Linked DNA regions of Callithrix jacchus. The main gene of each other region encodes a partner of the protein of the gene in region 4 in a complex. Links are inferred from orthologs where the notes say so. Each region holds a gene or a part of one and is shown on either strand. Other genes may lie near its edges.

The links.
Region 1: LIN9 (region 4) and TFDP1 share a complex: the UniProt entries of both Homo sapiens proteins name them as parts of the DREAM complex. The link is inferred for Callithrix jacchus from reciprocal best matches to the Homo sapiens genes LIN9 and TFDP1.
Region 2: LIN9 (region 4) and LIN54 share a complex: the UniProt entries of both Homo sapiens proteins name them as parts of the DREAM complex. The link is inferred for Callithrix jacchus from reciprocal best matches to the Homo sapiens genes LIN9 and LIN54.
Region 3: LIN9 (region 4) and TFDP2 share a complex: the UniProt entries of both Homo sapiens proteins name them as parts of the DREAM complex. The link is inferred for Callithrix jacchus from reciprocal best matches to the Homo sapiens genes LIN9 and TFDP2.
Region 5: the proteins of LIN9 (region 4) and MYBL2 are in contact, whole or in part, in a crystal structure (PDB 6C48), measured with the Homo sapiens proteins. The link is inferred for Callithrix jacchus from reciprocal best matches to the Homo sapiens genes LIN9 and MYBL2. Residues at the interface, in NP_001353174.1 of Homo sapiens: Lys356, Gln385, Arg386, Tyr388, Ala389, Thr390, Val392, Leu393, Leu395, Glu396, Asn399, Leu402, Asn403, Leu406; in NP_002457.1 of Homo sapiens: Trp663, Ala667, Cys668, Gly669, Gln674, Met677, Gln678, Ala681, Arg682, Leu684, Leu685, Arg687.
Region 6: the proteins of LIN9 (region 4) and LIN52 are in contact, whole or in part, in a crystal structure (PDB 6C48), measured with the Homo sapiens proteins. The link is inferred for Callithrix jacchus from reciprocal best matches to the Homo sapiens genes LIN9 and LIN52. Residues at the interface, in NP_001353174.1 of Homo sapiens: Leu335, Gly336, Phe338, Phe342, Leu343, Ile344, Val346, Thr347, Leu349, Ser350, Lys351, Leu353, Met354, Lys356, Lys357, Ile360, Leu363, Arg364, Asn367, Thr368, Ala370, Glu371, Lys374, Ile382, Phe384, Gln385, Tyr388, Ala389, Val392, Leu395; in NP_001019845.2 of Homo sapiens: Asp61, Met64, Leu65, Leu68, Gly69, Leu71, Thr72, Thr73, Leu76, Met77, Val80, Leu83, Gln84, Leu86, Ala87, Leu90, Asp93, Glu94, Glu97, Met98, Arg100, Gly101, Leu104, Asn105, Ile106, Leu107, Glu108, Pro110.
Region 7: LIN9 (region 4) and RBL2 share a complex: the UniProt entries of both Homo sapiens proteins name them as parts of the DREAM complex. The link is inferred for Callithrix jacchus from reciprocal best matches to the Homo sapiens genes LIN9 and RBL2.

The regions. Positions count from the first base shown.
Region 1 is NC_133502.1:29,108,517-29,112,753, forward strand, and holds the end of TFDP1 (transcription factor Dp-1), read left to right. Parts: intron 1-152; coding exon 153-231; intron 232-2,409; coding exon 2,410-2,557; 3' UTR 2,558-3,737; downstream 3,738-4,237. UniProt on the Homo sapiens protein: Can stimulate E2F-dependent transcription.
Region 2 is NC_133504.1:114,862,099-114,865,004, forward strand, and holds part of LIN54 (protein lin-54 homolog), read left to right. Parts: intron 1-141; coding exon 142-344; intron 345-2,906. UniProt on the Homo sapiens protein: Component of the DREAM complex, a multiprotein complex that can both act as a transcription activator or repressor depending on the context. In G0 phase, the complex binds to more than 800 promoters and is required for repression of E2F target genes.
Region 3 is NC_133518.1:42,587,437-42,590,936, forward strand, and holds the end of TFDP2 (transcription factor Dp-2), read left to right. Parts: intron 1-1,959; coding exon 1,960-2,065; intron 2,066-2,278; coding exon 2,279-2,462; 3' UTR 2,463-3,445; downstream 3,446-3,500. UniProt on the Homo sapiens protein: Can stimulate E2F-dependent transcription.
Region 4 is NC_133520.1:23,015,478-23,018,114, forward strand, and holds the end of LIN9 (protein lin-9 homolog), read left to right. Parts: intron 1-98; coding exon 99-196; intron 197-684; coding exon 685-790; 3' UTR 791-2,137; downstream 2,138-2,637. UniProt on the Homo sapiens protein: Acts as a tumor suppressor. Inhibits DNA synthesis. Its ability to inhibit oncogenic transformation is mediated through its association with RB1. Plays a role in the expression of genes required for the G1/S transition.
Region 5 is NC_133506.1:39,073,373-39,076,872, forward strand, and holds part of MYBL2 (myb-related protein B), read left to right. Parts: intron 1-83; coding exon 84-371; intron 372-3,450; coding exon 3,451-3,500. UniProt on the Homo sapiens protein: Transcription factor involved in the regulation of cell survival, proliferation, and differentiation. Transactivates the expression of the CLU gene.
Region 6 is NC_133509.1:109,031,448-109,035,396, reverse strand, and holds the start of LIN52 (protein lin-52 homolog), read right to left. Parts: upstream 2,801-3,949; 5' UTR 2,794-2,800; coding exon 2,763-2,793; intron 1-2,762.
Region 7 is NC_133521.1:11,359,325-11,362,824, reverse strand, and holds part of RBL2 (retinoblastoma-like protein 2), read right to left. Parts: intron 1,944-3,500; coding exon 1,813-1,943; intron 1-1,812. UniProt on the Homo sapiens protein: Key regulator of entry into cell division. Directly involved in heterochromatin formation by maintaining overall chromatin structure and, in particular, that of constitutive heterochromatin by stabilizing histone methylation.

The DNA.
Region 1 (4,237 bases), on a different chromosome or scaffold from region 4:
TGTCCTCTGTGGCACAGTGCAGAAAATCCTGGACAAGTGAAGGATGTCTGGAAGCTTCCCCAGCTGTCCATCCTGCGGCACTGCGGGTTGTCTGTGTGTCTTGTGTTGTTTCTGTTTCGTGACCATTTGCTTCATTTTCTTTCCTTTTTCAGAAATGGCTCAGGGAACTGTTGGAGGTGTGTTCATCACGACAGCAGGTTCCACATCTAACGGCACGAGGTTCTCCGCCAGGTGACAGCGGTTGAGGGTGTGGGAGAAGCATTGTCTGGGCCTCCTGTGGGGCCCAGGGGCCAAGGCAGGGTGGACGTCTCAGATGTGGCCATCAGGTCTGAGGCTGCTCCGACGTGCTTGTCTTCCCAGGCAGTGGCCCCACCGGCTTTCCCTGTGTGGAGAGCTGCTTTTCCTAGTTGGTTTCTCCTCACTAAAAACTAAAAGTAATACGTGGTGGTTGTTTTTTTTTTTGTTAAAGTATCACCTAAAAAGTAAGTAGGAATGAAAACCACCCAAATCCTTCTGTCCCGGGCAGCCCAAATAACAGCAAGTATTTCTAGTTTTTTTCTCCTATTTTTCAGAACACGTCTGCGGTCACAGTGCATTTGTATTTCAGAACGCATTTGTAGTCATGGCGCATGTATTTTTCAGAACGCATCTGTAATCACAGCACACATATTTTTCAGAACGCATCTGCAGTTACAGTCCACGTATTTTTCAGAGCAGTCACAGTGCACATATTTTTCAGAATGCATCTGTGGTCACAGCGCACGTATTTTCCGAACATGTTTGTGGTCACAGTGCATGTATTTTTCAGAATACGTTTGTGGTCACAGTGCACTTTCTTTTCAGAACACATCTGTGGTCAGAACGCACATGTTTTCTTCCATGCATTTTCACCTTACATTTTATTGTATTTATATATATTATTTCTGTGCTATTAAAGGGCCTTTATTTAAATAAATTCGTATTTAATCTTTGACCTGCCATCCCATAGGGTAGAATGATGTCCCTAGGTATTTATCTTGGTGCTTCAAAGAGAAATATAGCTTTTACAACAGATATTAACAAAACAAAGATTTTATTGACTTTTATATTGCATTGTGATACAATATGTAGTATTACTTTATATTAATCCTAAGTGTTCATAAAATCTTTAATTGGAAATCTAAGAACTTAGTAACCTGTGGGTCCAGATAACAGGGCACGACGTAGTGAGTTGCAGTGCGCATGAGCCTGTGTTGGAATGTGCTGTGGCCGTGAGATGTGACAAGTGTGTCAGGGGTGCATGTAGCTTCCTGGCCAGCTCTGGGGTTACAAAGCCAGTCTCTTCCAGTCTTGGCCTCACCTGTAAGGTGAGACTGGTGATGAGTCGTTGATCTGTGGCAAGGATCAGTGAAGTGGTGATAGAAGAAGGGACTTGTCACAGTGCCTGGTAACAAGGTTTTGACCGAGGCCGGTTCTCTTTCTCTTCAGCTGTGTGTGAATGTGTAGGGGTCAGTCTGTAAACATGTTTAACACTGGTTCTTCCATGAGGTGAAATGTGGGTGTTTTTAGGACTTTCATCATCAGATAATCCTTTTCATGGATGTGATTCTCAGACTTGTCAGTTTTTCATAACAATGGAAACAAAGCTACTACCATTTCTTATGAAATACCAATTTTCAAAGTGGCATGATGGGACATTTTATGAAAGTACCTCATGAAAGGACATCTAGGCAGTTCCCAGTTATCAGGAAAACTACAGTGAGCAGCTTTGCGGCTGAATTTCTCACCATTTCTGACGTGTTTCTAAGATACAGAATCACTTCATCAAAGGCATATTGACTCATTTTCATTGTAGTTAATAAATACTATTAAAATATATTAAAATATATGCATATATTTTTATGCAGTTGGAAAACATTTTTAAATCTTGGAACATTGTGAGCTGTGATTAGTGGTAGGTTTTTGTGGTGCTGCAAACCCTCTGGGTTCCCAGTCCATGCTGCTAGATTCTAGCCGTGCTCTGGACTACATCCTGTCCTGCCCCAGGCTCTCTTTTTTTCCTGTTGCTGGTTATGAGTGAAAGTCCTGGAGGGAGGGATCTAACAGTTTTTCAGTTCATTGCCTCTGGGCACTGCTCCTGATGGAATGATGAGTGAGGGAGAGGGAGCTTGTGGCTCTGCTCAGCCTCCTATTTCTGGCATTGTGGATTCCAGGAGACAGGGTCCGAGGAGAACCAGACGGGGATGGAGTGAGTGCCAGAGTGCTGGCGTGCTGTAGTGCAGACACTCATGACCTCCCAGTTCTGTGTGTGTGACTGACAAAACTGACACCTGTTCGGCGCAGCCTGTCCTTCAGCCGCAGGCCCTGAGGTGAGGGGAGGCCGAGTGGACTGCTCTGCACTGACTGCCTCATCCGCCTCCTGCCTTGCAGTGACCTGACCAACGGTGCAGATGGGATGCTGGCCACAAGCTCCAACGGGTCTCAGTACAGTGGCTCCAGGGTGGAGACCCCAGTGTCCTACGTCGGGGAGGATGACGAGGATGACGATGACTTCAATGAGAATGACGAGGATGACTGACGTCCTCCCCACTTCAAATTCAGCTTCAGGAAAACGTTTAGGGAAAAGAAACTTTTTTTTTTAATGTGGGTTTTCTGTTTCCTTTTGGCCTACTCCCAAGAAGATATTGGTAAGCTATTGAATTTAGATATGCACCTCTGATAAGCAAGGGTTGTTTACCGTAGGATTAGGACGTGCTGTGGATGTGTGTTTTGATACCAGTGTGCTGATGCAGAGCGTTTATTTACTTTTTAGGATTTTGTGTTTTCATTTTTCTGGTTTTCTCTAAGTGCAGAGTTCAGTTTCGCCCCTGAACAGTTTTTGCTGAGTCTGCTGAAGAAATTATATTTCATCCACATCCATGAAAATAAAACACCCTCCTGTGGTGGATGGTGAGCACCTGGTGCCATTTATTTGCCGTGAGTCTGGACGGCACCCCCGCTGGTGGATAGCAGGACTCTGTGGATTGTTCCATTTGGTCAGTGGTACTGTGTCCAGAGCCCCAAGCAAACAGCAGAATTCGACTTTCTAAACAATAAACTTCATCAACCTTATTGACTTTATTTTCCCTTAAATTATATTGACTGTTGTGATTCCATCAAGCTTATCAACTCTTTTCTCTCCCTATTTGCAGCAACAAATTGCAAAGTGCTTTTGTTTGTTTGGTTAGGGCTTATTGCCACGCTGGTGCGGCTATGGAGACTGTCTGGAAGGCTTGGAATGGTTTATTGCTTATGGTAAAATTTGCCTGATTTCTTACAGGCAGCATTTGGAAACCTTTTATTATATAGTTGTTTACATACTTATAAGTCTATCATTTAAAAACATGTACTGAAACAAATGTTGTATTTGTTTCATAAGCATCTTCCTGTAATCTATTATAAAATTGAAATTAAATATAGAGAATGTTTTAACAATTTTTTAACTCAAAATTTGTCAATCATTTTTAATAGTTCTTTTTTTATAAAAAGGAAAAGGAATTTAAGGACAGGCAGTAGTCTCTTTTAAAGTTTATTCACAAAACCCATTAACTGCACAGTTGCTGTTAGCTGCCTGTTCTGAAATGATAGTCTTTTTATTGAAACACAAATAAACTTTTCTGTAATATTTTATGGAATATAAAGAGACTTTAATTGTTTGACTTGTTTAACTTGGCACTGTTAGTTTTTATTAATAAAACGCGCATGGGCATTTTGAACAAGCTGTGTTTCTCTAATTCAGGATTATTGTCTAGAAATTTGTCTGTCTTGTTGGTCTTACTTTATACTTGAGTGAGAAAGTAGGTTGTTATTAGGCCCAGACACAGTGCGTCCTGGTGGTCCCTGTGGGCACACCCCCCGACCAAATTTTGGTCAGAAGCACATCTTCCGGGAGCCCACCCTGAAGATGGAGAGTGGCCAAGGGTGGAGGTCTTGGATATAAGGAAAGGAGGAGGCACCTTTTTTGGTGCCTGTGGTGCAGAGAAAGATAAGCCAAGTTCCTTGGCTTTTTTTCACGATGAAAATTGAGACTTAAAAATGTAAAAGTTTGACTTCCAGAACAAGAATAAGATTGGGAGGCTTCTGGGAAGATGGTGGAATAAGGAAGCCAGGAATCTGACGTCTACTCCCAGGCAGGATCTGCTGGATGCAGCTGTTCTGTAACTACGGAATCTACCAAAGGCTTAAAGCTTACAAGGGAGCATATGGCAGTTAATTTTGG
Region 2 (2,906 bases), on a different chromosome or scaffold from region 4:
GTAGTTAGTGTTCATCAGCCAGAGGTGCTTCCATCTAATCTCAGTTCACCAGGTAATGCTATTATCTGGTGATTTGATTGTGGCATCTACTCACAGTAATGTATTTTGGTTTTGATTTGGAAACTTTTGTAAATCTTTTAGGCAAAAATAATGTGTTCCTCAATATGCAAATGTGTTGGCTGTAAGAATTTTGAAGAAAGCCCAGAAAGGAAGACATTGATGCACTTGGCAGATGCAGCTGAAGTAAGGGTACAACAACAAACAGCAGCGAAGACGAAGTTATCCTCTCAAATTTCAGACTTGCTTACTAGGCCAGCACCAGCTTTAAATAGTGGCGGTGGAAAGTAAGTCAGTATTTTAATCTTTTTGTAGTATTTCCCAAATACTCACTTTTGGTAAAGTTTCTTTTTGGGAGCCAAGTTGAGTTTATACTTTTGGTTGTTGCAAACCTGATTTTCGCACTTTCTTTCCATCTTCAGTTAACTTTTAGATGTTTAAAGGTAACAGAAACTACTGTCGGATTATTGCACAAGTCTAAAATGCACAGTAATGATTTAGTCCCTTGTGCTTAATTTCTGCCTACTAAGATGAGGTAATTATGTAATTTGAGGAACCCCAAAGAAAACCGGGTGTTTCATGTGTCTCGATGAAAGTGTAATTATTCATGGTTTTGCATTTTCTTACCTTCTCTTGCCTTTTCCATTTCTTGGAGCAGTTTCCCCATCCTGTTGGGCCACCCATCATATCATACTGTAATAATGCAGCTCCATATTGTTATCTCCTTTATCTGCTAAGCTCTGGAGTAGAAAAGCTTGACCTCTAAAGTCAGGAAGACTTGAGTTTATGCTATCTGTGCTACTTAGTAGTTTGTGAATTAGACAAGTACTTCATCTCTTTGAGCCTCAATTTTCTTACTTTTAAAATAGCTCATATCAGGTGGCTGTGAGGAACAAGGCATGTCTATAATATCTCCAGTGTTTGTCAAGACCTGATACAACATAGGTTTGTGATTTGGATTAGACTGATATTAGCAAGCTTGGTAGAGGTTAATTTGAGGTGTTATTAAATGGAATAAACCTTGCAAATGGCATATTATTTAAAATGCCTAAGTTGAAAATGAGATCCAATGCTTATAAAAATAAGGCTTTTTTTTTTCCTTTATGAGATGAAGTCTCACTCTGTCGCCCAGGCTGGAGTGCAGTGTCACGATCTCAGCGCACTGCAACCTCTGCCTCCTGGATTTAAGCAATTCTCCTGCCTCAGCCTCCTGAGTAGCTGGAATTACAGGCATGCACCACCACACCCAGTTAATTTTTTGTATTTTTAGTAGAGATGAGGTCTGTGTTGGCCAGCGTGGTCTCGAATACCTCACCTCAGGTGATCTGCTCTCTTGGCCTCCCAAAGTGCTGGGATTATAGGCATCAGCCACCATGCCCTGCCTTAAGATATTGGTTCTAAAGAACTCTTATCATTTGAAAATAAGCAGCAAATGGTTCTTAGCTGAATAAAGTGGAAATGGGCAGGCACTTAAATGATGTTTATAACCTGGGATCCTTCTGGTTTTTAGAGTACTGAATCTCATCTCCACATGGAGGTTAAAGATATTGCTACAGTAAAATATTTGTAATTTTTAAACTTGGGAAGATGTTTATGATATGAAATGAAAACAAAATTATAAAATTATACATTATAATCAAAACTACCTATTAAAAACTTGTATTAAAAAGTTATGCCAAAAATAAATAAATAAATAAAGTTATGCCAGCATGTTAACAGGCTTGTTTCAAGTGACCAAAACATTGAATTGGTATTTTCTAGTGTAAAGTGCTTGTTTGTATGTTAAAGATTTCTATATAGCTACATGGCAGCCTGAATTCTCAATCACCCTCTCTTGCCATTGTGAGCCTTAATTTCAGACTTCGTTGTTTAGTATACTTCTGTTAGTGACTGCTTACTCACAGGTTGTTGAGTTAGTGGTTAGATTATGTTGCTTGAATTAATCTGTCACAGACTAAGACTTGAGTTGAGGCCAGGCACAGTGGCTCATCCTGTAATCCCAGCACTTTGGGAGGCCAAGGCGGGCAGATCATGAGGTCAGGAGTTAGACCAGCCTGGCCAACATGGTTAAACCCCGTCTCTACTAAAAATAGAAAAATTAGCCGGGTCTGGTGGTGGGTGCCTGTAATCCCAGCTACTCTGGAAACTGAGGCAGGAGAATCACTTGAAACTGGAAGGCGGAGGTTGCAGTGAGCTGAGATCATGCCACTGCACTCCAGCCTGGGCAACAAGATCAAAACTCTGTCTCGGGAAAAAAAAAAAAAAAGACTTGAGTTGGCTATAAATAGAGCAAACATCACCATGGGTTGCTCCAATTTAATCCTCCATAGTTGGGGTCTTTATGGATGCAGCTCTGAATAGAGCAACATTAGGTTTCCCCATTTTGTTTTGTTGTGATAGAACAATGCAGGATTTTGGTATGTTTTCTTGTTTTCTACAAACATTATCAGTGACTGTAGTAAAGTGCTTTATTTTCCATTTTGTCCAAGAGATAGTGCTGTCAATTCCCAATATTATTCTTTAATTCAGCAACTATTCATGTAGTGTCTCTATGTGTCATGCACTATTCTAGACTGGAACGACAGCAGTAAATAAAGATTGAACTTACAGAGGAGCATACATTCATGATTTGGAAAGGTTTAGTTAAAGAAATTCTAGTCTTCATGTAGACTGTATCTTTTAGTTACCACATAACCTTGCCTAGGTAATACGTCAGGTATTTTATATTAAATGTTATATTTCCTGAACAATATTCTTACAATATGTGAATAATAAAACCAGATCTAACTTGTTAAAGCTCTTTTTAGGATGTGCTTGTGCTCACTGTGTAAATTGTGATGCTCATCCTG
Region 3 (3,500 bases), on a different chromosome or scaffold from region 4:
GTACAGACTTGTTATTTAATGTATTTAAAGTCTGCTATTCTTCTTAGACTTGAAGTCTCTTTTTTTCCACAGCTGCCTCAAAGAAAAAGGTTCATAAGACAATTCTAAAATTAGCATAGTCATTTAGTTTACTTTTTCCTACATGGGAATGGCCTCTTAGTTGGATACCAGAGTTTCTAATCTAAATCATAGTTTGTTTTTGTAGAGTGATCTCAAAAAGGTTTGTATTAAATTAAATCATAGCTCATTTTGGCAGATTATGTTTTCTGAGTATGTGCTTGGGCTTACAGAATTTCTTTTTAGGAATTATTTTTAATAAGTATATACATTCAAAATAATTCCTAAAGTGGCAGCTGACAGAGTATACTAATTCATTTAGTAATGTGTAGTTTTTTTTTAAGGCAGTCTTGCTCTGTCACCCAGGCTGGAGTGCAGTGGCACAATCTCGGTTCACTGCAACCTCCACCTCCTGGGTTCAAGCAGTTCTCTTCCTTCAGCCTCTAATAGCTGGGATTACAGACATCTGTCAGCATGCCTGGCTAATTTTTGTATTTTTAATACAGATGGGGTTTTGCTAGGTTTGTAAGCTGATCTCGAACACCTGAGCTCAAGCAATCCTCCTGCCTCGGCCTCCCAAAGTGCTGGTACTATAGTCATGAGCCACTGTACTCAGTCCCAGTTACTGCCTTCTAGATAGGATGATAAGTCTTAAACCAGTAAAATTACGATAAGAATTGATCGTGTTGTGTTGTCATGATGGCAAAGAGATATCCAAAATATTTTGTTATTTTTGAGATGGAGTTTCACTCTTGTTGCCCAGGCTGGAGTGCAATGGCACAATCTTGGCTTTCTGCAACCTCCGACTCCTAGGTTTAAGGGAATCTCCTGCCTCAGCCTCTCTAGTAGCTAGGATTACAGTCACACCTGGCTAATTTTGTACTTTCAGTAGAGATGGGGTTTCTTCATGTTGGTCAGGCTGGTCTCGAACTCCCGACCTTAGGTGAACCGCCCACCTAGGCCTCCCAAAGTACTGGATTACAGGCGTGAGCCACCGCGCCCAGCCCAAAATTTCTGTAGATTAAAACAGTAATGTCTGTCTCTCCATCATTAAAAATGTGACTGCATGTGAGATTTTTAAAATAAGAGCTAGTCAGCCAGTGCCTGGCTAGCTCAGTCGGTAGAGCATGAGACTCTTAAAATAAGAGCTAGTTTGAATTAGAAAACAAAGGAAACCAGGAAAAATCTTGTCAGGAAAAAAGAAGAGGTATTTTTCATAAGTAGCAGCATTGAGTTTACCAGCAGGCACCTGAAAAGACAGTGCGGTGTGGGTTTTGGCCAAAACAGATCTGTCTTCCCTGAAGCAGGGTGGCATTCTTACCTCAGGTATTTCTTCTTGTGTTTTGAGAGTCTTGCTCTGTCAACCAAGCTGGAGTGCAGTGGTGTAATCTTGGCTCACTGCAACCTCTGCCTCCTGAGTTCAAGTGATTCTCCTGGCTCAGCCTCCCACGTACACCTGGCTAATTTTTTTTATATATGTGTATTTTTAGTAGAGATGGGGTTTCATCATGTTAGCCAGGATGGTCTCCATCTCCTGACCTCGTGATCTGCCCATCTCAGCCTCCCAAAGTGCTGAGATTACATGCGTGAGCCACTGTGCCCATTCCTGGCTTTGGCTCTTAACCCCGCAGTCCAGGTGTTTAGTGGTGAGGGCAGCAGGCATTGAGGATAGTACACTGGGCTGCACCCTGAGGGCTGGGTTCTGGAGGGCTTATCTAAGAAAAAAACAAAGTGCCTGTGGAGTGTTTTCATTTTAATTCCTTCTCTCCATAAGCTCCCCTCCTGTATTTATTTTTCCTGGTTTTATGTTCTAGAATTTTTTTTCTTCCAAGAAGGTGAGGAAACCTGGGTTTTTCTCTGCTTGGAGGACTTACATTTTTTTGTTCTCATTTTTTCCTTTAGATATCTCCACAGGACCTTCTTGGTTAAATCAGGGACTACTTCTGAACTCTACCCAATCAGGTTCAAATTTAGACCTGACCACTGGTGCCACCTTACCCCAGTCAAGGTATGTATTGTTTTCAGGGTTAGAAAGGCAAACCCCAGAGCCCTGACTGACTGTAGCAGTGAGCCGGGCTCATGTTCCTGCCAGCACAGGTCCTGCTGAGCAGGTTTGTGGCAGATCTCACCAATGGCACCTCCTTCCTATCTTTTTATCCTATGTTTTACAAAACTGTTTCTACCACATTAATGAGCCTGTGTGTTTTTAATTGTTTGCTAGTGTAAACCAAGGGTTATGCTTGGATGCAGAAGTGGCCTTAGCAACTGGGCAGTTCCTGGCCCCAAACAGTCACCAGTCCAGCAGTGCAGCCTCTCACTGCTCCGAGTCCCGAGGCGAGACCCCCTGTTCATTCAATGATGAAGACGAGGAAGATGACGAGGAGGATTCCTCCTCCCCAGAATAAAGACAAGAGAAAGCCTACGTTTCAATATGTGATGCTCATGTGTGTTTGTAGTGTGAGCTCTTGTTTTTGAAATGATTGCTTCAGTCTTTGCCTTTGTTTGCACTGTGTTCAGTGAAAACTAGAGAAACACAATAAGCAAATCACATTAAGGCTGAGATGATTGAGATGAAAGTTAACATAGTGTAAACGAAAGTCTGACCAACAGCAGTAAATGGTATCACAAAGCAAGCATGTTCCTGAGGAGATAGTGGGGAGAATCCCTGAAGAGTTGGCAGTGGGAGTGTAGCCCATTTATATTCTGTGAGGTGGGATTTTTGTGTTCCTCACACCCATGTAATTATTCTTAGAATTGAGATTGCTACATGGAGCAGTCCTTGACGATCGAGTTTTTGTTTCCCTTCCTTGCCTGGACTGCCTTTGACAAGGTGGAAAGGAACATGAAAAGTCCCCAGTAGGGGGAGCTGCGTATTGAGGGATCCAGAGGGCAGTCCTGTGGCCGAGGGGCACAGATTGAACTGCTGAACTAGTTGGAGGTCTAGTTGAGGTGCTTTACGCATCAGCTGCCTTAGACAGCTTCTAGAAAGGAGCGAGCGCTTTCTTAAGTACTTAAGCGACATTTAGATAATTTATAGTAAAACCGAAATTAATCATCATTAGCCAATGCATTGGTGCATAGAATTTACCAGGGCTACTTCTGGAAGCCAAAATAGAATAGTGTTTCCATGTACATTAAATACTTGCCAGCACTGCCTTTTGCCAGCATCCTAAATCTGGAGTTTTACAGAGAGGGAAACTGTATCTTTAGGTTAATCAAAGCTATGCATTTCATACAGCTTTTTAATTTAAAACAAGACAAACAAATTCCTGTGACCAAATTGCTTGCCTCCAGTTCCCTGCAGTAATTGTGTGATCTCTCCCAGTGTGCAATTTGTGAAAATGAACCAAATGTCATTACTTTTGTCTCAAAGAAAAGTCTATTTCAAGAATATGAACAGCACTGTTTCCTTGTACATGTCACCTTTTTTTCACATTTTCATT
Region 4 (2,637 bases):
TGCTGATTTATTGCTAAGAAATTAATTCATTGATTATATCAGGTATTTTATATTTGAGCTATAATTCAATTAAATTTTGAATTTTTTTTTCTCTTTAGTGTCTAGCAGAAGGAGGAGACCTGAATTCCTTTGAATTCAAATCACTTACAGACTCATTAAATGATATCAAGAATACAATAGATGCTTCTAATATCAGGTAATTCGTTAGGTACACTCTAATCTTTTTAATGGAAGTTTGTAGTGATTTTCAGTACAAGTTTTAAGAATTATGTATATTTGTGAAGTACTCATGTTATTCTCCATTAAATATATTTTTAAGAGCTTTTCACTTATATCCAGTCTGTTGACAGAATAGAAATTTCACATAGATTTTGTATATAAAGAAATTAGGAGGTATATTTAGGTTTGGGGTTAACATGGAGGTTCAGCTTAGAAGTTGAGCTTTCCCAGTCAGTGAGAAGCTCATCCCCTCCTTCCAGCTCCCTGTGGCTCCTTTGCTTCTTTAGAGCATATTTGTTCAATTACTACTGAAGTAGAATTATGGCTAATGTAGTAGAGGAGATTTATTCCTTCTCTAAGACTTATCAGAGCTGTTTCCTAACTAAAATTCAGCTCTCCTTTTTAAAAACTTTTTTTCTTAATTTTTTGAAATAAAGTTGTTAACCATATTTCTTCTTTCTTTAGTTGCTTTCAGAATAATGTAGAAATCCATGTTGCACATATTCAGAGTGGCCTGAGCCAGATGGGAAACTTACATGCCTTTGCAGCAAATAACACCAACAGAGACTGAGTAGAAGATTTCATTATTCCAACTGCACAGGACATTGTTCTTTTCCTTTATATAGGCTTCCAACACCAAATAACCTAACTGCTGGAAAACAAGGGAAATTTAAATCTCCAAATAAGGCATTTTAATAGACTACTGCTTCTTAAACCAGCATTGCTGACCAGCATTATATTTATTTTTCTTTTATTATTCAAATGCAGTAGCATTGCTTATGTTATATATGTTTTTATTAGCAAATATTTTTAAACTGAGAATATCTGAACATAATATAATTTCATTGACCAATTTTTTTAACGTGCATGAATTCGCCGCCACACATGGAGACAACTCAGACAACTGCTGCAATGGAGAGTCTGAAGAAACCTGGTCTTTCTGTTCATGTCGGTGCAATGCGGAAATTCCATCCAGAAAATTACAGCTCCACTTAATTTAGTTACTCACCATCTCAGTCTTCAAAAGATGACATCATGAAGTGTGGGAAGTCCTAGTTTTAAGGAAAGCCACTGAAATATAGATGGGAAATATGGACTTTACAGGTATATGTGATATATACTTGCAATGTGACATGGTTCGATAGATCATTTTATAATAATAAATATTTAAATTTATCATAACTTATATAAAAGAAAACTTTGTTGTTTGTCTGTTGAAATAAAATGAAGGAATAGGGAGAAAACATAACTGCAAAATGCTAAATTTCTGCAAATGGATTTGGCATATCTTCCCATCAGTTCAGGTCAAAAGTGCTATTGTTATGAGATTTATTTAAAAAAAAAAAAAAAAAGACTGATAACACACTATTTTCATATTTTTTTTGTTTGTTTGCACAACTTTTAAACCAGATTACTGGTTAAAATCCAACAGTACACAATTTGTAAAGTAAAAAGATTTTATAGGGAAAACAAATATAATAACCAGTGCTGTGAAATGCAGAAGAAAGGTTTGTTTTGGTTGTTTTTCTTTTTTAGGAAAATCCTGCCTAAAATGTTAATCTTGTAAAAAGTATGTATTTGGAATTTTCTTTGTTTTAATATAGAATATTATAAATTCAAAATATAAATTGTTTTCAAATTTGGAGTTTAAGATACAGCTGTAGAGGTGATTTTAATTCCTTTAGATGTCTCATCAAATGAGACTTTTTATATGTTAATGTATAATAAAACTGAAACAAGATTATTTTCCATTTGAAATTTTTGTATAGTTTAAAAATGCTTCCGTATTCTTTGTTGGTATTGTGCCACTGCAGAACTTTAGTGCAGAGTTTATATTTAGCTAAACTGTTATGTTAATTAAATGCATAAATCTTCTATTCTTAATATTTGTAATTCTAAATAAATTGATCTATGAAAATTAGTATTTCCTATATTTTCATTTAATTAATTCAAGTTGATATGCATTCCTTCTGTTTAAAAGTTTTGAAGAATTGTAATTTTCATTAAATTACATTTTTAGGGGAAGCAGTACAGAGTAATTACCAAGTCACTCTACCATACCATCCAGTGGTATAGATTTTATTACCATACCATACCACTATACCATACCATCCAGTGGTATAGACTTTATTACCATACCATACCACTCTACCATACCATCCAGTGGTATAGATTTTATTACCATACCATACCACTCTACCATACCATCCAGTGGTATAGATTTTATTACCATACCATACCACTCTACCATACCATCCAGTGGTATAGACTTTATTACCATACCATACCATTCTACCATACCATCCAGTGGTATAGACTTTATTACCATACCATACCATTCTACCATACCATCCAGTGGTATAGATTTTATTACCATACCATACCACTGTACCATACCATCCAGTGGTATAGACTTTA
Region 5 (3,500 bases), on a different chromosome or scaffold from region 4:
TTCAGGTTGTGTCTTGTAGTTGGCAACTACTGTATAGTCTATATCTCAGCAAAATCCACACGGTGTATTCTTGTGTCTTACAGGGAAGTCTTCTGACCAGCTGGCCCTCTGGCCCTCCTACCATGAAGGAGGAGGAGAGCAGTGAGGAGGAACCTATAGTAGCCACCACTTGGAAGGAGCAGGAACCCATCCCTACAGATCTGGATGCAGTGCGAACACCAGAGCCCTTGGAGGAATTCCCGAAGCGTGAGGACCAGGAAGGCTCCCCGCCAGAAATGAGCCTGCCCTACAAGTGGGTTGTGGAGGCTACAAACCTCCTCATCCCTGCCGTGGGTTCTAGCCTCTCTGAAGCCCTGGACTTGATCGAGTCGGTATGTTGGTCGCAGCACTTCGCAGTGGCACAGAGCACTCCTGGCAGTAATGCTTCTCTTGTGGGCCCACATCGTTTTGCCCATTCTGTTGCTAACAGTTACTGACTTGATGCTGAGTGGCTAGCCCTGACTCAAGGGCTGTGGACACTAGGGTTGTCACCACGCAGTCCCTGTTCTTGGGGAGCTCCCAGTGTGTGCAGCAGGAGTTTGTGGTGGCATCTGACTTCTACGTATGGCACGGGGTGGGGTGGGAAGGCTGCCCAGAGGAGGTGTCACTGCACTGTGTCCTAAAGGTTGACTGGCAGGTGACAGCACAGGACAGCATGTTATTTGTGACGTCACACATGGTTGGGCCTCCCTGAAGAGGTCCCCAGGAAGTGTCAAGGCTTGGTGTTGGTCTTGGAGTGGTGAGTGGGTTCTGGTTACTCAGGGTGGGGCAGGCATTGAGCCCATGTTGTGGTTACTGTGTTGGCTGTAGGGTTGTGTCCTCTGAGGAGGGCTTCTTGGTGTGACACTCCAGCTTCTGGCTGCATTGACCAGGACTGCACTGTAGAGCGGGTTTTGGGAGGTGAGAGACCCAGAGGCCTGGTCATTGGGGTGGGGAGTTCAGTATGAGGGCTCCACATTTGCCTTCCCACGTGAGTGTCTGCCATCCTAGAACATCTACTAACTGCCAGGCTCTGAGCTACACATACAGTCTGCGTGGTATCCTGTGAAGTGTGTCATTTCTGTTTTATAGGTGAGACTGAGGCTCAGAGAGGTCAAGTAGTATACCCAGGGTTGCACAGCAAGTATGCTTGGTGGTCTTGACTGCCATGCTGTACTCCTGCTATTACCTGATGAAGGGTTGGAGGGCCATCTGCTCAGACCCTCTTTCACTGTAGGCCTCACCTCTTGACCCCAGTGGCTGGGACTGGAACCAGCTGCAGGGTCTGTCTGTGGTACCCCCACCTCCAGGGGGTTTTGGAGGAGTTTGACAGGCACCAGCACATTCATGGATTCTCAGCATAGCTCTGAAGCAAGCACTGGACACCATCTCTCCCGCCAGCCCTGAGGGGAGTGCCAAGATGGGAGTCAGTCCCTCTATGCCTGGCACATTGTGTGTACCACAGCATCATCTCCCTTTACCTCAGACCATTCTGTTTCCTTTTGCTTGGTAGGCATAGCTCACTTGTATTGAGCACACACTAATTGCCATACCTGATGCTTAATGAGTAATGACAGTACCTAACATTTGAGTGCTTGCCGCGTGCCAGGCCCTTCACTTGCTACCTAATGTGTGGGTTCTTCGTTGGTCTTTAACAACCTGTGAGGTGGGTAGTGAGAGCACCCCACGCTCCCAGGAACACGAGTCAGACCCTGCTGTCTAGCTCAGCACTCAGGCTATTTCCACAGTGATCTTCTTCATCTGTTGGGGGAGTTAGTGCATGTGTGGAAATTCCGTCCTCCCTTCCCTGCTCTGTCCACTCCAGGTGGTCCTTGTAGGATCTACTTCTTGTCTATCAGACGCCTGCAATGCTGGGGCCACCCTGAGGTTGGGATGTGGGCCTGAGGTCGGTCCTGCCCCCAGGTGGCCTTCACCTTTGGGAGTGAACTGCCCCAGGCTCCTGTAAGTCCTGGGAAGCAGAACTTACAATCAGCTCTGGGGTCCCCTCAGAGGCCAGATTTCCGCAGACCAAAGTGGAAGCCTCTGTGTCCAGAAGACTTTTGGTTTGTGTTGTGATTTATTGAGTAAAGGAGGGAAAACCTGGAATGATTCACGGGCTTCTTAGAAGCTGAGTAACTTCAGGGAGACTAAATCCCCTTAGCTCATCTTCCTTGGTATGAAGGTGAAAGCTCATCATGGGTCAGGATGGCTAGTGACTTCCCTAGGAGAATTGTAGGGATTGGAAACAACTTTTGTGAGCTGCCCCAAGCAGGCACCAATGATGAGTGACATCCCATTCAATGCTCTGTATTTCGTTCTGTAAAAATAACGTGCAGGTAGGGTACTGTGGTTCATGCCTATACTCCCAGCACTTTGGGAGGATCATGTGAGCCCACAAATTTGAGATCAGCCTGGGTAACATAGCGAAGCACTGTATATCAAAAAGCTTTTATCAAAATTAGCCAAGGCCAGGCACAGTGGCTCACACCTGAAATCCCAGCACTTTGGGAGGCTGAGGCAGGCGGGTCATGAGGTCAGGAATTTGAGACCAGCTTGGCCAATATGGTGAAACCCGTAACCCATCTCTACTAAAAATACAAAAATTAGCTGGGTGTGGTGGCACAAACCCGTAGTTCCAGCTACTCAGGAGGCTGAGGCAGGAGAACTGCTTGAACCCAGGAGGTAGAAGTTGCAGTGAGTGGAGATCGTGCCACTGTACTCCAGCCTGGGTGACAGAACAAGACTTAATCAAATAAATAAATAAATAAGAAATAAATTAGCCAAGAGTATCAGTACATGTCTATAGTCCCAGCCACTCAGGAGGCTGAGGTGGAAGGATCACTCGAGCCCAGGAATTCAAGCCTGCAGTAAACTGTGATTGTGATTGTGCTACTGTACTCCAGCCTGGGCAACAGAGACCCTGTCTTTTTTTTTTTTTTTTTTTTTGAGATGGAGTTTCACTCTTGTTACCCAGGCTGGAGTGCAATGGCGCGATCTCGGCTCACCACAACCTCCACCTCCAGGGTTCAAGCAATTCTCCTGCCTCAGCCTCCCGAGTCGCTGGGACAACAGGCGTGCGCCACCATGCCCAGCTAATTTTTGTATTTTTAGTAGAGACGGGGTTTCACCATGTTGACCAGGATGGTCTCAATCTCTTGACCTGGTGATCCACCTGCCTCGGCCTCCCAAAGTGCTGGGATTATAGGCGTGAGCCACCGTGCCTGGCCCTAGAGACCCTGTCTTTTTAAGGAAAAGAAAGAATCTGTGAAAATATAGATGTACAGTCATAGAAAACTGAGGAAATGCATGAGATATTAATAATTAGTCCTGGGCTATAGGTTCATACTTGACACTTAAATATTTCCCTTAATGGACAAGTCCTCTTGTATTAAAAGCAGAGTAATTGCAATTTTAACCTCCCTCCCTGGACAGGACCCCGATGCTTGGTGTGACTTGAGTAAATTTGACCTTCCTGAGGAGCC
Region 6 (3,949 bases), on a different chromosome or scaffold from region 4:
ATGGTGCCATGGCACTCCAGCCTGGATGACAGTATGAGACTCCATCTCAAAACAAAATAAATAATAACAAAAATAAATTAGCTGGGCATGGTGGTGTGAGCCTGTAGTATCAGCTACTTGGGAAGCTGAGATGGAATGATAGCTTAAGCCTTTCAGTGTGCTGGGAGCTATAATCATACCACTGCATTTCAGCACCGGCAATAGAGTGAGAGAGACCCTGTCTCTAAAAGAAAATTTAAAAAAAAATCATTGAGGGTAGGATCTATAACCTACACCGGTGACCTTATGATACCACAATCTGGGACAGAACTCTGCTGTGAGTCTTACTCTCACAAATTAAGTAATTAGATGGCTGTATTTGAATTTCAGTTTTCTCCTTTTCAAAGAAGTTCCAGCAAATTTAGCATGAAAAAGACAAAAGAGTAAATAAAAAACATTTTTAAATCAATATTGTTTGAATTAAATTTTAAAGACAGTGACAGGTGGAACACTAAAAATAGAAGTGAGAGAGCTAGGCCATGGAATATTTTAGAATGAGTTACTTATTTAGAAGATGAATTTAATTAAGTTCAAAGTGCTCGACTTGATTTTGTCAGATTAAAAAGAAAAGATTAGGTGGAGAAGAGTGAAACTCTGTAAGAGATAAGAATGAAAACTTAAAAAATAAAGAGTGCAAATAAAGTGACCATAAAGATGGCTAGAAGACCAAAGGAAAAACATACAATGTTTTTAATACTCTTCCTGGCCAAAGAAAGGAAACTAAATTGAGAAGACAGGGGAAAAAATCCAACTCAAGAAACACATCTTTAAAATCCCCCAAATCTGTAAAAACAATTTAAAAATAAACTAAAAAATTTAATAACAATTACCTCTACTTCTATCACTTGGCTTTGTTATTTTAAATTGTGGTGAAATATACATAAATTTGACCATTTTAACAACTTTTAAGTATACAGTTCAGTGGTATTAAGTACATTAATTGTGCAATCATCAGCACATTCATTTCCAGAATGTTTTTCACCTACCTAAACTGAAATTTGGTACCTGTTAACAGTAACTCCCTATTCCCTCGCCTTGCTTTTTAAATGCCCTTCTTTCTGGCAAGAGAAGGACATTTCAGCAAGAGAGCACCCAGGCAGGAGACTCTCTTTTGACTCCAAACATCCATAATTTCTTTTTTGTTGTTGTTGAGACGGGGGTTTCGCTTTGTCACCCAGCCTGGTGCAGTGGCATGAACATGGTTCACTGCAGCCTCCACCCCAGGGCTCAAGAGATTCTCCTGCCTCAGCCCCCCAAGTAGCTGGGATTACAGGTGTGTGGCACCATGCCCAGCTAATTTTTGTATTTTTTTTTTGTAGAGACTGGGCTTCATCATGTTGTCTAGGTTGGTCTTGAACTCCTGAGTTCAGGCAATCTGCCCGCCTCAGCCTCCCAAGATCTTAAAACTTAAGATCAAGTAATATATTATTTCTGCATATATCTAATCAATCTTTCAATAAATGCTAATTAAAGACCTACTGTTCACCAGGCACTGTGCTAAACCCTGGGATCCAACTATAAACAAGACAAACTTGAAATTTATAATCTAGCATAAAAGGGGCAAAGTTAACAGAATTACTATGCTGACAAGGAAGACACTGAGATAATGAATAATGGTGGGGAAGAGCGACTCCAGATCCTGTGTTCTAAGAGACTCTTTGGGAGGTGACATCTAAAAAAAGATCTGAAATTGAAAAAAAAATATTTATATGTTTGAGTAATCTTTTGGAATCTCAAAGCACCTAGCATTATGCGTTTCATGTAGCAGGTACTTAATAAAGCTCACCTTGGCTTCAATTTCCTCATTCCTGTAATGAACTTTCAAGATTCCTTCCAAATACAAAATGTGTTTGTCTAAGGGAGGGAAACCTATATATCAATGAAATCGATATATATAGTTGGGATGGGAACGACAGAAACAAAAATGAGTTTAAAAATGACTGCAAGACCCTAACTCTCTAAAGCAGAACCGAGACCAAAAGCATAGGAATATACCAAGACAACCTAATTGTTACTTGAAATGACTTGCATTTTACAATACATAAACAGAAATCGTTCATTCACTCAGCCTGAAGAAACAACACAAAAAGCAGATGCAAAAGAGGTTGCGACCTGTGCAAGACAACACTTAAAAGCTCAATACTCATTCTCCTCGCGACTCTCACGGTGAGGGGCCGAGAACGTCCCCCGATTATCTTGCTGCCACGGCAGTGGTCCCAAACAAGAGACAGGAGAGAGATCATGTTTCTCTTGCGGTTCAGTATCGAGATGAGGTCAGCCAGCAGCCACTGCTAGAGTTTGTGAGAATCGTTCCATCCCTGCGCTCAATCAGAAGAAAACTGATCCCTCAGTGTGATACTCCAAGGAGGAGACTAGTTTAAGGCACGTCCTTTCCTCCACTAACATCTCCTCCGAGGCTCTCAGCCTCACCCAAATAGAGACAAGGAAGGATCAGGGCAACCCCCTGTCCTTTTACCCAAAGTGAGTCCCTCCCTGGTGCCCTCCTCCACACGCCTGGTACAGAGCGGGGAAACTGGGCACCTCCGGAGCCGCTGTGAAGAACCAGTGAGCTGAAGACGGCGATGGATCTCAAGAAAAAAAGTAAAAGGGAAAGGAGAAGAGCCCAAGAAAGAAATGTATGTTTGAGGGGCAGAGACAGAGTAGACGTTGCCGGTAGAGCAAAGAAGGAGGCTGCAGGCAAAGATCTACAAGCCGGCTCTTACCGTCTGTGGGAGACGCCATCTTCCAACCCATGTCACGTGACATGGCCAACCGTCGGCGGGAAAACGAGGATCCATAAGCCACTCCCCCAAAGAGAAACCCTATCCCCAACTCACAGCCTAGTCTCATTCCCTCGCCTCATAGGGCAACATTTGCCTATCCCCGCCCCTAATTATAGCCACGCCCCTCGCGCAGTTGTTGAGGTGGAGCGACTGCAAAATTCTTGGAGGGTCTTATTTACTTTTCTCGGTGAGAGGGCGGGGCCTCGGTTGCGCCCTTGGCCAATCGGAGTTCCGGGTTAGGGGGCGTCTTCCCCGTGTGCACAGTATGGAGTGTCCAAGTCAGGGGCGTCTTCTCTACCTCCGCCAACAGCATTGGCTGAAGTGGGAGAGGGCGAGACCTTTTTCGCTCCTGACCAATCACTTATTCACAGGACTGGCGTGTGAGGGGCGGAATCAGGTGTTGGTTCGCGTGACTGGCTGGAAAAAATAGTCCTACCCACCAATGAGGAAGCCAGTCAGGATGGAGGGCGAGGCCTGGCAGCTGTAGTGCTTCTGAGCAGTAGAGGCGCAGGGTGCGGAGCTAGGGAGGCCGAGAGCCATGGCGGCGGTGGTGGCGGCGGCGGCAGTGCGAGCCCGGATCCTGCAGGCGAGTGAGGGTGGTGCCAAGGGACCATGAAGCCAGGACTTAGATCTTTTCCGTCCACTCCGTGAACCATCCTCGGGCGGGACCACCTTTTTGGCCCAGCCCCTTTTTGGCCGGACCTCGTGTTCCTACGCGACCTGTGCGGCCCTGTCCCATGCGCAGCTCTCACTTCATACCCTACCTCGTCCCGGATCCCACCCGAGCTGTTACTCTTGGCCTTACACCCTTTTACTCCTGAGCCTCCTCTTTTCTGGCTCTCGCCCACTCTCCTCCAGCCCTGCCCGGTCCCTGCTGTCACTCTCTTGCCCTCACCACTCCATCCGTCCACCGTCTTTCCTTTTCACCTCTGCACCAGCCTTCTCTCTCTCCCCCGAGAACTACTCTTTTTGATTACTCTTTCCCTGCCGTGAGCGTCCACGTTGCCATTGCTCCCTTTCCCCACCCTACTTCACTTTCCTTGATCCGAGGTAAGGGGGAGAGGGGATGTGAGGGGAGAGGGTAAGTGTATGAACTTTGAATCTCCTTCTAGACGTGTACTCCAGGT
Region 7 (3,500 bases), on a different chromosome or scaffold from region 4:
GTGGGAGGCCAAGGTGGGAGAATCACTTGAACTCAGGAGATGGAGGTTGCAATGAGCCAAGATCACACCCCTGTGCTCTAGCCTGGGCAAAAGAGCAAGACTCCATCTCAAAATAAATAAATAAATAAATAGAATAAAATGTTATCCTTTTACTTTGAAAATCTTTCTTAGTGAGATTATCTTTTCCTGTATCTATTAGCTATGTGAGTTATAACCTTTGTGAAGTCATATTCTTTATTCATTTTATTAACCCTGTTAGTAGTTCTTAATATAATTCTGCATACTGATTGTCTGGTCAATGTAACTCAGGATGGAGCTAACGGTTAAAAAAAAATTACAGCTAGAGCATGACACTGTAAATTATTTCATTTGAGATGGAGTCTCGCTCTTCTCACCCAGGCTGGAGTGCAATGGCATAATCTCGGCTCACTGCAATCTCCAATCTCCGCTTCCGGGGCTCAAGTGATCTTCTTGCCTCAGGCTCCCGAGTAGCTGGGATTACAGGCACACGCCACCATACCCAGCTAATTTTTGTATTTTTAGTTGAGATGGGTTTTTGCCATATTGGCCAGGCTGGTCTCGAACTTCTGACCTCAAGTGATCCACCAGTCTTGACCTCCCGAAGTGCTGAGATTACGGGTGTGTGTCACCACACCTGGCCTGTTAATTACTTTAATAGTAAGCTTTTTTTTTTTTTTGGCAGGGGGTAGGGGACAAGGTCTTGCTTCAACATTCTGGGCTCAAGTGATCCTCCCATCTCAGCCTCCCAAGTAGCTTGTCCTGCAGGTATGCACAAACACACCTGGTCAATTTTTTTATTTAGTCATGATTTTTTTAACTATTAGATCCATAAATTTTGACAGTGATAATTTCCCCCCAAATATTAGACATCATTTTTCCACTTATCTTTAATAAGCTATATAAGACAATTCACCTAAAAGGCACAAAAAAAAGAATGTAATCAATTTAATTATACAACAGATAAAGCAATTTCTGCCTCTTCTTTTAAACATATTTGACTCTTTCTAAAATGGATTATAATCATGTCATTTTTCTTCCAAACAGGAAACCGAGAAATACTTACACGTTCCATTTATATTAAGACCACAAGTCCTGTACACATATTTCTAAGTACAATACCAAATAATTAATATTTTATTTACCTTTTCAACTTATAGTATCTCCTACAGTTTCTCAATATCCTTCATTTCTCTCAATATTACACAATGTTATAACCTTTAAAAATAAACTCTTCCAATGCCGGGCACAGTGGCTCACACCTGTAATCCCTGCACTTTAGGAGGCAGGAGTGGGCAGATCACAAGGTCAAGAGTTCAAGACCAGCCTGGTCAACATGGCAAAAACCCCGTTTCTACAAAAAAATACAAAAATTAGCCGGGCATGGTGGCACATGCCTGTAATCCCAGTTACTCAGGAGGCTAAGGCAGGAGAATCACCTGAACCCAGAAGGCAGAGGCCACAGTGAACCAAGATCACGCCATTGCACTCCAGCCTGGGTTACAGAGCAAGACCCCATCTCAAAAAAATAAATAAATAAAAATAAAATAATAAACTCTTCAATACAAGTGTCTAATACATTAAAATTTAAATATTTTCACCAAAGAAATAAAATATAATGGATACCAACTTTGATACAAATAAAGGAAAATCATTGGATGCTAATTTTAGCATCTAATTTCACCCGTCCACAGGTACAAATGCTCAGAAAATGATAAACAGAATTGTTACTATCACTAAGATTTATAAGCTCATATAAGCCATACTCTACTTCTCAAACTCTAACATAGTTACCTCTGCTCTGAACATTTCAGGATTCTAGTTAAAGATACATAGTTTCCTTCCACTGTCCCTTTGCTCACAGTTGGAACAGATTTTCTGCAAGCCACATATAAGGCACATGCTAACCAATGAAGATCATTTCCCTGTAAAAGAAAAGAAAATCCATTTTTAATTAATAAGCTATATATCTATTTCAATATTTTTTTAAAGTATGTTTAAATGTTTATATGGTGGTGCAGGGTGAAAAAATAAAAGAAAGTGTTTATATTTTTGTGGGAAATTTATTTTCAATAAGAACCCTATCTCATACGCTCTTCTTTTTTTTTTTTGAGATGGAGTCTCGCTCTGTCACCCAGGCTGGAGCACAGTGGTGTGATCTTGGCTCACTGCAACCTCCCCCTCCCAGGTTCAAGTGATTCTCCTGCCTCAGCCTCCAAGGTAGCTGGGACTATGTGCCACCAGGCCCAGCTAATTTTTGTAGAAACGGAGTTTCACCATGTTTGCTAGGCTGGTCTTAAACTCCTGGCCTCAAGTGATCCATCCACCTCGGCCTCCCAAAGTGCTGGGATTACAGACATGAGCCACTGTGCCTGGCCCCACATGTTCTTCTTATAATGTGACATTGACATTATTTTACTGAGAGGCAGGGAAGGTTCCCTCACCATGGAGGTGGGCAGGGGTCTGCACACTGATTAACTGTCTCTATCAACAGCAGAGGTAGAAGTGATACTATGTAATTCTAAAGATTATACAAGGCAATATAGATTCCACTTGGTTCTTTCTCTTAGGACATATGCCTTGGGAGTCCTAAAAAAACATCCAAGAATTCAGTTACCCGGTATCACCATGCTGGAGAGACCACCATGGAACAGACATACAGAGATGCCCAATGAGCTCCAGCTGTGCCAGTTCCTAGTTGCTCAAGTCTTCCAGGTGAGGTACCAGTCATTTTGATGCAGAAACCTGATATCAATATTGTCCCTGGCCTGAATTTCTGACTCACAGAACCTGTGAGCAAAACAAATTGTTTTCTGCTCCTAAGTTTTAAGGTAATTTGTTATATAGCCATCGGAATGGACATAATATTGTTGTTTGTATTTTTAATCTTGCTCAAAATCTAGAAAATTATAGAAATACAAAATTAAGCTTGAATGGACATTCAGCCACTAATTTTATACCTAATCAAAATACATACATGAATGCATGAAATTTATTCTTATAACCAAATGAAACTATTGTAGATTACTAACATATTATCATTAAACAATAATAATTTTTAAGGCATTGCTTCTAAAAGATCATCCTCACAATTCTTTTTTATTCAAGAAGTGATACAACTTTACTACTCCTATAAAAGAGAGCAAGGATGGAAGATGTCCTTTAGTTTCACTGTATCCATTACTGGTCTAAAGGAAAATAAGAAAAACTGGAAGTTCTTCATTTTTCACATTTATACATAGACTATCTTAAAAATCCATTTATATGTACTAATAGCACAGATGTATTGTCAAAAAAAACCAGCCAACGTTTGTGTATTACACTTATCTCTGGGAGATGGTTTCACAATATTCGTTATTTATAATGTAAAAGCAAATTTAGATTTATAACTACTGCATTTCTCTACTATATCAAATCTCTTAGAAAGTATAAAGTCAGTCACAACATTATCCTGTGCTTTAATAAAGGGTTTAAAAGATAAT